2 linked regions of the Astyanax mexicanus genome follow. The main gene of each other region encodes a partner of the protein of the gene in region 2 in a complex. Links are inferred from orthologs where the notes say so. Each region holds a gene or a part of one and is shown on either strand. Other genes may lie near its edges.

Evidence for each region.
Region 1: sf3b2 (region 2) and ppil2 share a complex: the UniProt entries of both Homo sapiens proteins name them as parts of the minor spliceosome. The link is inferred for Astyanax mexicanus from reciprocal best matches to the Homo sapiens genes SF3B2 and PPIL2.

Annotation. Positions count from the first base shown.
Region 1 is NC_064429.1:31,212,591-31,219,798, forward strand, and holds the start of ppil2 (RING-type E3 ubiquitin-protein ligase PPIL2), read right to left. Parts: upstream 3,089-7,208; 5' UTR 2,941-3,088; coding exon 2,909-2,940; intron 1,906-2,908; coding exon 1,856-1,905; intron 1,762-1,855; coding exon 1,716-1,761; intron 1,153-1,715; coding exon 1,090-1,152; intron 1-1,089. UniProt on the Homo sapiens protein: Has a ubiquitin-protein ligase activity acting as an E3 ubiquitin protein ligase or as an ubiquitin-ubiquitin ligase promoting elongation of ubiquitin chains on substrates.
Region 2 is NC_064415.1:13,364,345-13,371,901, reverse strand, and holds the start of sf3b2 (splicing factor 3B subunit 2), read right to left. Parts: upstream 3,099-7,557; 5' UTR 3,045-3,098; coding exon 2,918-3,044; intron 1,364-2,917; coding exon 1,317-1,363; intron 504-1,316; coding exon 444-503; intron 100-443; coding exon 1-99. UniProt on the Homo sapiens protein: Component of the 17S U2 SnRNP complex of the spliceosome, a large ribonucleoprotein complex that removes introns from transcribed pre-mRNAs.

The DNA of each region.
Region 1 (7,208 bases), on a different chromosome or scaffold from region 2:
TAATTATATGTTATTATTAATAATTAATGACATTCATCTATGTGAAGACACAGATATCAATAGGCAACACTATTATTATAAATCTCTGCAAGTGTTTACATTTTATATTATATTTTAATATAATATTACATATTATATTACATTATATTGTATAATAATATATAAACTATAGGCTCTAAGCTAATATTAATGTAATATAATCTAAAATTACATCAATGCAACTGTGATTTAAAAAAAAAAGAATAGCAACAAAAATGCTATTTTTAGACCAGGCCTGCGGGCTACTCATAAGGTCCTTGCGGGCTACCTGGTGCCCGCGGGCACCATGTTGGTGACCCCTGCTCTACACACAAAGATATGGTGTAGAACCATTTAAACCATCAAAGAACCTTTCAGCTAAAACAGCATCAAACAGCATTTGTATTAAATTTGTCCTAAGATTAAAATCTTTGCTCAGAGAAAATAATAAAACCTTCAAATACAGATTTAAATACATAAGAATATGTTAAAATCCATAATGTTTCTATTGCACAAATAAAATCAACCTACATGAACCAAATCAGTAATTACACTAATTAGGGATGTACCAATGTGGGAAATTCTACGCTAATGCAAATATATGAAATTACACATTTATATATATATATATATATATATATATATATATATATATATATATTTATATTTATATATATATATATATATATATATATATATATATATATATATATATATTTATATATATATTTGTCGATGTCAAGGTACACATTTCTAAACTACAGAAAGACAACATACACCAGTATCACTTTATAACTTTAAAACTAATACAAATAAATGCAAACTAGCTAGTGCTAGTAGTGCAGCTAGTGACACTTGGTCCTTTTTTGCCATACAACAAATACATCAGCAAGTATTGTTTGAAATATCGTCCAAATTGTCTGATGCCAATGATTCTAAGAGATAATCAGCCGATAGCGATAAAATTCCAATATCATTGTGCATCCCTACTATTAACCCCTCAGGTGATCACCAGTATATGTGACCAGAGGACTGATACTGGGATTGTGATATTAGTGTACTTGTACTTACATGAGGTCAAAGACCACGCCTTCAGGGGTGCACATGGGATACTCAAAGGGCTGAAGAGACAAACTGAAAGAACACAAAGACCCAAACACAAGTGAGAACAGGAAACAATATATATATCCTGATTTAGACCCCACAGGATGAAAAGATATCAAATATAGCATAAAGTAATATAATATAAATTATTTTGTTCTAATACAGATCTTCCCCTAAAACGTGTTAATTCCTAGTGCAAAGACATTTGCAAAGCTTTATTACTAATAGACATGTCAATGCAAAATTTAAAATGCAAATTTATATACAGGCATATTTTGTATTTGTATAGTGGGGTTAGTTTATATAGAATCGAGGAATAGTGCTTAAGGTCAGGCTACTGGAGTGAAAAGCGACGGCTGGCTGCCTCTGAATAATTTACTGAAATGTCCTCTACTAGATTCTGCTGATCCGGTAGCCATGTGCATCCAAAAGCTATTCAGCCAAAAGCTATTCAGCAATAAATGACTGTAATTGTTAATAAAAGGACTGTAACTTTTAATAAAAGATCTGTAATTGTTAAGAAGTCTGATATCAAAAGTAGCAATAAATGAAACACACACACAAACACAGACACACCTATCTGTACAACTCACCTGCAGTGATCAAAGGGTAATCGTCTGAAATTAGCCTGTGGGATTTCTGCAGATAAAAGAAAGATCGCACTAAGTGTTAATAATAAAAAAAAAAAAGTAAAAAGGAAAAGAATGTATTGCCATGCTCCAAAAATACACACCTGCTTTCTTGCCTCCATAGAAATGTGTGTACTCTGCACAGGTGATGTACCTGAAAAATAGGAATAGTAGGAATAAAATGAGCAGCACTATTCACCACTCTTCATGAGTGAGCAGAAAGTCATATGTACCATTTATAACAAATAAACTTTGAGATTTAGACTGTAATTTGATTAGTTAAAGCTTAACACTGACATATTAAAAATCTAATTCTTACACATAAAATCAGGAAGGTCGTTGTTTATTGTCCACTAAACAGGCATAATCTCAATAATCTCTGATTAACTTAGTATTGTCCACTCAATTTGTTGACTTTATTAATATTTTAGCTTTTTTCAAAATAAATAACATCTTGCTTAAACAGCTGTGTCAATCAATCCATCATATTTATCAATTAATCAACATCTATTTTACACTGAGGGTGACCCTCGTTTTTAGCTGCCGAGCAAATAGATTAACAGGGATTGACAAGAAAAATAACAAACAAACAAACTAAACGCAACAACAACAAATACACAGCTAATGTACTCAAAGAAAAAGTTAGGTTGAAAAGATACATTCTGTTTTTTAAAGAAGCCAAATGAAAAAGAAAAGAAACTAAAGTGACGCTAAAACAAAATATTAAATAATATATATTTTAAATAATACAAATAATAACAATAATAATACCATTAAAAATAAATAGCAAATATAAACAAACAAGCATATAAACAAATTTGACAAAATATGAATTAAATATCAAGCCTATTGTCTGATTTAATATTTACTAAAACAGTTTATTTAATGATGTTTATCTAACGTTAAATTATTATAAATGATGCAGAGTAACGTTAAATTGAGAGAAAACAGATACAGTACTATCCTAGGAAAAGAGAAACATGGTTATATACATATTTTAACTAAGTTTCAGCTGTTTTATTAAATATTAAACTGAATCCTGATATTTATAGAGTTTTAAGAGTTCAGATTAACCCAGTTAGCTGTTAGGCTGAACCAGCGCAGCTAGTTTAATTCGATGAATAAAACGGATTTAATCCGGATTAATGCAGACTTACATCTTGTCCTTTTGGTGCTGCCGCTTCCCCATTGTTGTTTAATGTGTAAACAGCTCCCAAAGAGAATACACCGATAATTTACACCTAAAAACACACAGTTACAGCGCTATTAGCTTAGCTAACCTAGCTAACTGCTATAGCTACGGGTCCGGGCTAAGCGCTGTACTACAGTAACATTAGTCCGGGTTAAACACAGGAAGGCGCTTTTTGTGTCCCACTACCTTTTTGTGTTCTTTTAGGGTCCTTTGGAAATAAATAATAATATAACAATAAAAAGTCAATAATTAAATAAAAAAGTAAGTAATAACAATAATAATAATAATAATAATAATAATAATAATAATAATAATAATAATAATAAATACTATTATTATAAGCTCATGTTTGCCATCCAAATAATATTTATATTTTATTTTATTTAGCCATTTTTACTTCATTTTTACACATTTCAGAAGGTGTTTCTCTGGTTTGCCCAGTCCACCCCCATATATATATATATATATATATATATATATATATATATATATATATATATATATATATATATATATATATATATATATATCATTGTTCACTGTTCTGGATTATCGTTATTACTAATATTAGAGTACAATTGATTCTATTAAAATAATAATAACTATATATATTGTGAATGTGCTGTGTGTAAAGTGTGTAAATGCTGCATTAAAGAGTGCAGTAAAACCATCTGTTCCAATACTGCTTTACTATTATATAAAAAATAGTTCATAAACAGTGCCAGTCAGACGTTTTATTGTCTTCTCATTCACTGTGTGTTTTTCATTATTATAAATTTAATATTGAAGACCTAAAGATATGCAGGAGCACATTTTGAATTTTTCTTTAAACAAAAAAAAATCTTCCTATCACCAAAAAACAGAAAAAAAAATATTAATTTAAAAATGTTTGTAGTTCATATGATGTTGAGTTATCCATCCAGCAGGTGGCGCTATTACACTGTGGACAAAATTCACACTCCCTGCCTCTGCATTTCTATTGGCCCACATGTCCAACAGGCCTTTTGCCTTTAAATCATTGATTTATTAATTCATCAGCAAAGATTCATAGATAAATTCACCCCATGTCTAAAAGTTAGTAGACACGTGCTCCAAAAACAAAGGCTTCACTAGTAGCACTTGATGCTTGATTATTCTGGATTAATCTTATTGATTAATCTTATTGATTAATCTTATTTAGAAGATACTGGATCAAATCTTGATCACATCCAAAGTCAAACCTTTGCACATGGCTGGATTCATGTGGAAGGCCCCATGAGTGGCATCTGTCTAATGGTAATGATATTCTGCTAATAAAGGGATAATATTAATATCGTCGCTGTCCAATGAAAAACAAGTATCTTTATTTTTGTTGATTTTAGTTTACCACATAGTTTTAACACACAAACATTCCCTTACAATGTGCCAAAATGTCTTGATAAATGGACAAATAGAAATACTTAAAAATGATTTGAAATAAAGTATTTTTACATTGACCTCCATTGAGTTAAGAAGGTTTTTTCTCTCTTCTGTAAAGATGATGTTTTGGGGAAACTTGTTTTTCATTGGACAGTGACGATATTCAATATAGGTGTTCAGTGCTGCTTTGTCAGCTATGGACTTACCTTCAGATAATCCAGTATTGAGAGAGAAGTTGATCCTTCTGTTTATTAAATATACTGCTACAATTATAAGACCATATTCGGATAGTATGATGGTGATGATGAGGATGATGACACTGGCAGATGCATGAATATTATATTTGTTGTACTTTTTCTCACATTTTTTTGGTTTACGATCAAGTGACTCTTCGTTCCCTCCTCTCTGAGAGTGTTCCATTATTTTTGTCCACTAGTGCGGCACCCTTAAATTATAAATGTGCATTAAACTACACTATTAAACAGTGAACAACAATACAGATATATTCTACTAACAGCTAATGACAGGTTCTGTATCAATAGCTGGGTCATTAAATGACACTGAAGACCGAAATGTACTTTAGTGAGACACTAAAAAGGTCCACAGGTGTGACAATTACGCTATCACACCAAAACAAAGATATTACACAAGAGGACACGTTGTTTTATGATTTTAAATAATGAAATAACATTTGTTTATTTGTTCGTCACTTTTATTCCTTTTTCATGAAATTAATTTTCTTAAATTCATCATTTGTGAAGAAAATGTGTATAATATAAAGTACAAAAAGACCCAGAAAGCAAAAATAATAGAAAAAAAAATCCTTAAAAATGCAGAATGGTCAGTGTATGGTACTCTATATTTTTTCCAGCAATGTCCATTGGTGTGACACTTGTCCTGTCGCACAAGAGGAAAAAGAGGCTACACAAGAGGACAATGTATTCTTTACAATGAATTTAAGTAAGTGAATTTGAATTTATTTATTTGTCTATTCCTTTGTGAAAAAATTACATTTAAATTATGCTAAAATAGGCCTTAAATTATGTTATTTTGGAACCACTAATTCGTACTTAATTACTACTTATTTGTAATTAAAATTAGATAGATTTGCACTAAATTCATACTTAGTATATTATTGATACTATATGTTATTTTCACCACTGTTTAATATAATTTAAGTATATTTGTGTGAGCTGTCCAACTGAATATTAAGAACAATAAAAGAGTGATTAAAGTATAGATTTAACATCACATTCATTTTTTAGGAGTAAAACAAAACAAATAGCAAGATATTTAACTTATACACAACTAAAGTAATGTTTTAAAGTCTTATTTTGACACACAAAAGGTTCATCAGCTCAGTAATAATAATTAATTTGTCTGAGCAACATAAATTAATGTTTTGCTAGCAAATTTCACTAAAGTACAGGTTTTAACTGGTTCGAATCCTGGTCATTCAGCTTGCCATCAGCTGCTGGATCTCCAAGAGCTCAATTGGCCTTGCTCTCTCTCTGGGTGGGTACAGTAGATGGAGCTCTTTTCCCTCATCACTCCTAGGGTGATGTCGATCAGCACAAGGCAGCATCTGTGAGCTGATGTATCAGAACCGAGTCGCTGCGCTTTCCTCCGAGTGCACTGTGATGCTACTCGGCAATACTGCATCATAAAAGAGGTAGAGTCTGACTCCATAGAAATAAAATGGTTTAGAACTGCACAAATGATCTATGATTGTAAAAAATTAAAGTAGAAAATGTGATATTTTCTTAATATTTGGGAAGTAAGAAGAAAATTGAGGATAATGATGATGGTGATGATGATAAGGACGACACAGACAGACTGATGAATGTTAGTTTGTTTTATTTATTGCTGTATTACTATAGTCTCACATTTGGTTTGTGCCTCCTTCAGAACAGCTGACTCTTCCTGCGCTGAGCTCCGAGCCGTGCTGCACTTTACCTGTGATTCAGTGCAGCTCTGCTCTCTGGGTGTAACCGATGAACATATAAGCAGCAGCTGCTGATACAACAAACAGGACAGGAATACACGGTATCCCAGCGCCCCCAGTATGCTTCCACTCCAGCCAGTAAGAGTCAGTGAGAGAACATTACTGATACGGTATTGGCAGCGAGCAACAAAGAAGGCCAAAAAAAAAACAAAAAACAAAGACTTCAGATAAGAAGATGAGGTTGTGTAGCAAAGTGTCATTGATTTGGTTTTCGTGATTGACTCGAGCACCAGTTCACTGTTCTGTACGCTGCTGGGATGCGGCCAGTGCTTGAAGTGGGAGGGTATTTAAAGGAGAACTCTGGTGTAAAATGGACTTTTGTTGTAGTAAAACATGATAAAAAGTTCTTACCTTTGTTGAATAGCCCACCACCGCTCTCCTACAGCTTTTTAAGATCCAGTAATTTTTTACTTTTTGCCCAGCACTCTGTAAAACGGCCGTACCTGGCATATTTTGCCCCAATAAATCACTTTTTTTCACCGTTATCCAGGCTCAAAGTAGCTCCACACCTCATTGATAGAATCTGGAGAGCCCTAACATTTAAAACGAGGCATTAAGGACATTAAGTTATAAGAAACTGCTACAACAGGAGGCAGGCTATGCGAGATCTATGTATATATGTCTATGACATTATCAGTACAAAGATGGTGGCGCCCAGAGATTTACCTGCACTATGAGATGTAAACAGTATTTTTTAATAAGCTTCTTGTGCACTTTTAAAGTTTTTAATGCCTCAATTTAAAGTCAGAGCTCTCCAGATTCTACTAAGGAGGTGTGGAGCTACATTGAGACTGGATAACGGTGTAAAATATGCCCCTATAAGGCCGTTGTACAGAGTGCTGGGCAAAAAGTACAAAATTAC
Region 2 (7,557 bases):
AGGTGGGGGCCCTCCCATCATTCCCATAGCCTGCAGCATGCCCATTCCTGGGGGGAGAGGCATGGATGGCATTGGGGGCATGGGTGGCAGACCTGGAATCTATAAGGTGAGAGAAGGAAGACGTTAATTCACTGACATGAGCAAAAATCATAAGATCAAAAGACCAGAAAACTTAGATCTCAGGTATTCAGCAGGGCTGAAATGACCTCCTAATCATTTTTTGTAAAAAAAATTGCTTAATAACTGTACAATTAATGTATATATAATAAATGTTTTGTTTAAATCCTCTCAAGCTTTATTTTAGTAAAAAGATTCAGGGTCTCTGGTTCTGGGTGAAAACTGGATCTGAAACTGTGAAAACTGAGTGTCTACCTCTACATTTAATTTATTTTCCATAATTCACATCACATGATGATATAAACATAATAAATAAGAGGGCTTACCGTGGGCATGCCTTTGTCATCTCCACCAGGTATGTTGGGCTTATTCAACATGATTCCAGTCTGAGGGGAAAAAAACACTTGTGATAAAGCGCATTCATATCCAGCAAGGACAGAACGAAACTTTATGGGTAGTGTAGGGCGAGCGCTCAGAAGCAGGGCCAGTAACCATGGCAACAAGGAGGTACAGTTTATCCGACACCGTTTATTTACACACCAACACTAATATTTACAAATTTACAGGCGTACGTACTTGACGAGAAAAGAAAACGAAAAGTAAACAAACACAAAATAATCTCTTCACGCAGAGAATAAGGTCTATCTCCTATACAGTCGTATAGAGCTTCTTTTCATGGCTGATATCCCGAACTATCTGCCCCCCCCTTACTCATAGATCCAGTACACCTTTTATACCATTAACCCCTCCCATGAACATACCATTTCTCACACGGGTAGAACCGGGTAATGATACACCAAGTACATGGTACTATGATATAATAAGAACAACAATATTAATAATAATAATAATAATAATAGTAGCAAACTCTAATCAGTTTGTAAGTGCTGAAATCTGTACGAGTTTCAATGTACATATAAAATACACATTCACATTTCTTCCCTTTCTTTTACAGGTACACACTCCCCCTCTCTTCTGCAAGGATGGACTCACCCAGGTAAGTAAAAGGTTTTGAGTTACGTGTAGTACCCTTTTGTCTCAACAGGCTGAGCATGAGTGTACACAGGTAAGTGATATAGTCTTTATGGTGATGAAGAGGGGTATAGCCTACTTCATCACAACACTCAAGCTCAAAATAACAGTGGAAAAAAAAAGGTACAAACAGTGAAACCAAATTATTTACTTTACAAGTCTCTTACCTGCATCATGTAATTTTTCAACCTGTCTATTAACTCTTCTCTAGGGCCTGAGAAAAAAGAATAAACAGAAAATACTGTATTAAACAACTGCACTGTTTTGTTTGCCATGCATTACTCTCATATGCATACATTACACACAGGAAATTCAACAAATGTGAATAATAATTGTGACTTCTCTAATTGCACAACTTTACATTGTACTTCACTCTATTGTACATTTAGCATTTCGCAAAACATCAAGCTTACCTCTAACATTACATGTTCACATTGTACTTTCTACTTTCTGTATTTTATTGATTTACAGTTATATTCTGTGTATTTTTTTTTGGTAACTAAGCTCATTATTTAAACTTATCTCTCAGTAGTAAGAGAGCTTCTACTCTAAAAACTCCAGATCACAACAGAACAGATGACACACTTAAACTATTTTTCGTAAAATGATTTGTATGCATTCTAATTTTAGTGATTTGCTGGAGATTTTAAACAACATAAGGAGTCTCTGCTGGACTAGACAAATATCCATATCAAATATCCAATCAACAGCACCATGTGGACACTGATGAAGGACTCAAGGATGACCTAACAGTGCATCAACAGATTTAGAGCCTCCGTCTCTGATTTTACGTCTACAAGGTGGAAGAACTAGGTAGGAGTTCCTAATAGACTGAACAGTGTTTAAAAACGTCAGCAGCACTGCTGTTTCGGACCAATTGTAGCAGACCTGTGGAGTCCTGACCATTTGAATAAACAGGGTAAAAGGAAGACAGTGAAGTCTACAGAGAAACAGATACAGGACTCTACTATGTAATTATTAGTGTACATATTGCACCTTTATGCTTAGTGTAGCTGATAAGATAAAAACACATTTATTGAAGATTACATGAATATATTTATTAGCTCTGTGGCAGGATCTCCTCCACCAGTCTTACACACTGCTTTTGGGTAATTTTTTGCCACTCCTGGTGCAAAAAATCAATCAGTTCAGCTTGGTTTGATGGCTTATGATTACCCATTTTCCTTCCTTATATTCCAGGGGCTTTCAATTTAGTAAAATCAAAGAAAATCATCATTTTCAAATTGTCTGATTTTCCAGAGCTGTATGCAGTATTGACACATAGACCAACTGACTTGTATTGATAAACACATGTCTGACATTTATACACAAGAATAAGAAAGTAGTCATGAAATAAGAGGTTTAGCAATATGACGGGCTTGGGTTGTGTGCGTTTTACTTAGGACACAACATTTACCACAACAGCTAACAGTTAGCTAGCTAACTAGTTTCCCAGTTCATTGATAGCTACAGAACCAACATGGCGCAGCTACACGCAACTTTACTCGTTTTAAATCAGTTTAACGTGCTAATAAACTCGATTAAACAGCCTTAATATCTTTACACACATCATGAGAACCCGCTCGCAGCAATGACCCACAATAAACACTAAACACCAAGCTAATAACTAAGTTACTGTTTCAAACAACCGGCATCAGAAGCAGTTAGCTTAGCTTCCAGATTAGCATGCGTGCTAATTAGCTTAGCTTAGTTTAGTTTAGCTGTCTCCCCCGGCCCGCTGCAGACGCCTCTCCCCGGGTTAACTCACCCATTACCGGCGCCCCGATCTCCGCCAGCTTGGCCTGTAGCTCAGCGTGGCTCCATGTGTTGAGCGCCGCGGCGGAGGCGCCCAGCTCCGGGCTGGTCTCGGCTCCCGGGGGTCCGTCGCTAGACATTTTCACACAACCGCGTTCAACAGCACCGCCGCGCAGACTCGACGCAGCAGGCACTGCGCATGCGTGCTTGAATAAAGGCCGGCGGGCCACTGCGCAGAAGCGTTGATCTATATCTCATGTACACCTCAGAGTTTGTGGTTCGGAGTGTTTATAGATCAGCGCATCCGCTCTACAGAGCTGTGTCCCACCGGAACAGGACAGCAGGATTTTAAAACTGTGCACATGCGTTCCCACTCATACAGTAGCCCAGTGTAAACACGCTGAACACACAAGAACAAGAGCAGAACATTATACAGGGTCATAGAAAAGTGTGATCATTTATTCAGTGCCTTTGTAGCAAAATTTCATTCAATTATACACAACCATAGTACATTTTAATACATTCACCGTGGCATAGTATATATTAGTAAATTCTACAGTAGTAATTTATAGTAAGTTCTGCAGTGCTACATTATATTTTAGTAAATTATTCAGTGATATTTTAGTAAATTATGCAGTGCTACATTAGATTTTAGTAAATTCTGCAGTGCCATGGTAAATTTTATTAAATGATACAGTACCATAGTACATTTTAGTAAGTTCTACAGTGCAACAGTACATTTTAGTAACTTCTACAGTGCTATAGTACATTATAGTAAATTCTACAGCACAGTAGTACATTTTTAGTAAGTTCTACAGTGCGATAGTATATTTTAGTAAATTCTCCACAGTGCTGTAGTACATTTAAGTAAATTCTACGGTGCCATAGTTCATTTAAGTTAGTAGTTTTAATTATAGTAAATGTTAGTTTATTCTACAGTGACATTAATGTAGTATTTTTTTAAAATGACGTAGTACATTCTGTTACTATTACATTAATAAAATTCTGTTGCATCGCTGCAGTAAATTCGCATAATATGTGCATTGGCGTATTGAAGCCAGAAGGAGGTAGCATTTTAACGATTTTACTCAGATGTAGCACTGAATAAAGTATAGAACTGAGAGCAGATTACTAATCTATAATATTTTATTCAGTACTATTCTATAACAACTATACTATTTAATTAAATTTATAACTTTTTATGTTATTCTATTCTAAAAAAAAATCTTACGATATTACTATTTCATTGTATTCTGTACTATACAATTCTATAATACACTGTAAATTACTTTAGTATATATCACATATAAAGCTATTGAAATGTATTCCGCCCTTTTAAGAAAAAGCCCTTTGACATCATAACCTTTATACTATTTTATTTTCAGTAAGAAGAAACTCTTTCTGCTGCACGTTCATAAAATGAATAATAATTTCACTGAATATTCCTCATATTGTCTCAAAAATATGTCTTAGAAAAATTATTTATATGAAAATTTTCTTTTTGTAGTTGTATTAATTTAGGTTTAGGTAATTAATCATTTCATATTTTTTTTTCATTACATACTGTTTTGTTCTATATTGTGTGATGCTATACAATATCTATATTTATATCTATATCAATATTTAACGCTCATCGTGTGAATTCAGGATGGAATGGATGGATTTACACAGTGATGGATTGCCTTTACACTGGGGCACGTCTCCCTTGTATGTCTTATAGGATTAATAGTTATTAAGGTTATTGGTCTTATTTAACTATAATTTCTTCTATTTACGTAGTAGTAACATACTATTCAAATAACTGTATCTTCATTATAATTAACATAATTTGATGTAATGTTTATATTAGTGGATATGGGTCTGAAGTTTTTAAGTTTTGAACAGACATGAAAATAAAGGAAACATGTGTCACAGCCCATTTCATCTACCAGCCAATCACGGAATAGGGGGCGGGGTGTATCGGAATGCGGTTGTTGGAGGGCGGGGCGTGCCTAAATGCAGTGGTCGAAGGGCGGGGCGTGCCTGAATACGGGTGTGGGAGGGCGGGGCGTGCCTGAATACGGGTGTGGGAGGGCGGGGCGTGCCTGAAAACAGGTGGGTTCAGCGTTGTTTCTGATGGTAGCAAATCTTTAGGAAGGTCCTCTGCCCTCAGTACAGATGGGGGCATGAACCAGCGCTGAACATTTCTATACAAAAACGCCTTTAATTCACCGAAGTGCTCCGAGGAAAGGCAGGTAAGCAGTTTATCTAACAGTGTCCGTGTTTTTATGGGAAGTTTGTGGACAGGGAGTCTGGTTTAGCGTGTTTTCAGTGAGAGCGTGCTGATTAGCTGCTCTGAAAGTAATGCTGCAGCTAACCTAACCTAAACTAACATAGTGTTTTTTTGCTTTCTGAGCTGGATATAGTAAATATAGGCTTATTTATTGGCGTGTTTTGGTCCTTTTATCTATTAACATGAGTTTTCTGAAGCTAATCTTATGTTTGTTTGTTAAGCTAGTTATTGTTTAGACTAGAGCTTTTTAAGTGTAGAGTTGTAATAATAATAATAATAATAATATTTTTGTTTGTTATGGATTTTTTGTTTTGTTTTAATAAGCTATGCAGCTTTTTATCCAGTCTAAAAACTTGCACATCTTTAAGAGCTTTATCTCTGTTTAAATGTGTTTTTTTTTTTTTTTTGAGCGTGAGCTCTTGTGGTCTCTATAAAGGAAGTGAAGAAAACACTGCCTCTGTTTTGAGCATGTCTTTAACTCAGGCCCTGCCACATCCATGCCGCCTTTATCTCTGCCCGGCAGGCCTGACTCTCAGAGATATGGACATTTAAACACCGTATGAAACCGCTGTAATGCTGCCAGAGCAGACAAATACTATATTAGTGTATTAGTGGCCTGATTGGCCTCAACACAATACAATAAACACATTAGTCAAGGCACCACCCTTCTCCTGTACATGCTTCAGTGCCCCACAGTTGCAACATGACCTCTTTACACACTGTTTATCTCTTTATATATTGGTTTATCTCTCTATATATCTGTTTATCTCTCTATAAATATATTTTAATTTCATAGTTTTCAGGATTGGTAGGAAGTACGCCTATGTGGTGTTTCCTTATGAACTAGCTAACCTGGAACAGTTGGTGTCAGTGTATGTAAAAGGTGTAGAGGAACTCCTGCCTTTACCTCATACTCTCTAATCTTATTGCTGGGGAGTTCCCTCAGTTTAAGAATCAGTTTTCTCAATTTAACAATCCATTCCATAACGTTACATTTATTAAATCATTGTCTCACTTTATATGGAATTGATTTAGGTATACTTAAGGAACAGTTTATTTAAATGAGTAAACTGATTTCTTAAATAGAAGTAATGATTAATAAAATGTCAGGATCTGTCAACTCCTTAAAATTATGTTTCCTGCTTGATATTTTCAGCCATTACTCATTGCACATTATTACAAAAGAATGTGACCTCCTCATTAGGGGATTAGAGAATTTGCTTTAGGCCATGTTACATTTAGAATATTGAACATTTGAACAATTAGGGATAAGGAAGCTTCATGCTGGTCCAGGGGATTAAACTGGTTACAATAAAATAGCTAATTAAGTAGGTAAATATGCTTGGTTACCCAAATAATAATGTCATTCCATAAAGTCAGACCTCCCCCTTAAACCTTTAGGTCATTTGCTGCAAATAAATAGTATATTTATTGTTATTGTGATATAAGTTTTAACAGACCTATTAAAAGAACTGCTACAATATCGCAAATAACAGCAAATCCAAATAGTATTACCTGCATGCAGCCGCAGAGGGATGTTTTAGTGCAGTACAGACTGTGCTCGTGTGACATAACAAGGCTGGAGGTAGAGTGGGGTCTATAATGAACACACACACACCACACTACATCTTAGCCTGGAAAAAAATAATGCAGCTACCAAGGGTGGGCGATATGGCTCTAAAATAATATCACAATATTTCATGGTATTTTCACGATAATGATACTTTTGGCGATATGTCAAAACACTGAATTAGAAAAATTATTTACAATTTTATTACTGCATGCAATATGATATGGCTAACTGAGATATAAAAAAAAAGAATTTTATCAGATTTGTTACAGAATGATTCAGAATGTCATGATACTAATAATGCACTCCAAATATCTCCATATATCCAGGATTAAAGTTATATGATCTGTCTCTAGTAGATAAATAATGGGAAATGAGAACAGTGTAAATTTTTCTTTTGGTAAAAACGGCAAAAAAGTAGTACTCTGTTGTGATAATTAGGGGTGAGTGATATGGCACGATATTTCAGGGTATAATATCGTTCACGATATTCAAACTTTTTGCGATATTATCACGTACGATACGATATGGCACACCCCTAGCAGCTACGCCAAGTACCAAAACTTAAACTAATATAGGATCTTTATTTGTCGTGCTTCACATCAATAATCTTATATCCAATAGCATTAGCATGCAATACGTTTTTCCCTTACTGTACACCATAATTTTTCAAATTCCAAAAGACTGCAAATGTCAGTAGTTAAGATGTAAACAAAAGAAAAAAGATTGGTTCATTGTAGTACAATGGTACAGTAAAGTATTTGTATAGCAGTGGTAATAAGAAGCACAGGGGTTGCAATAAATAAAACAC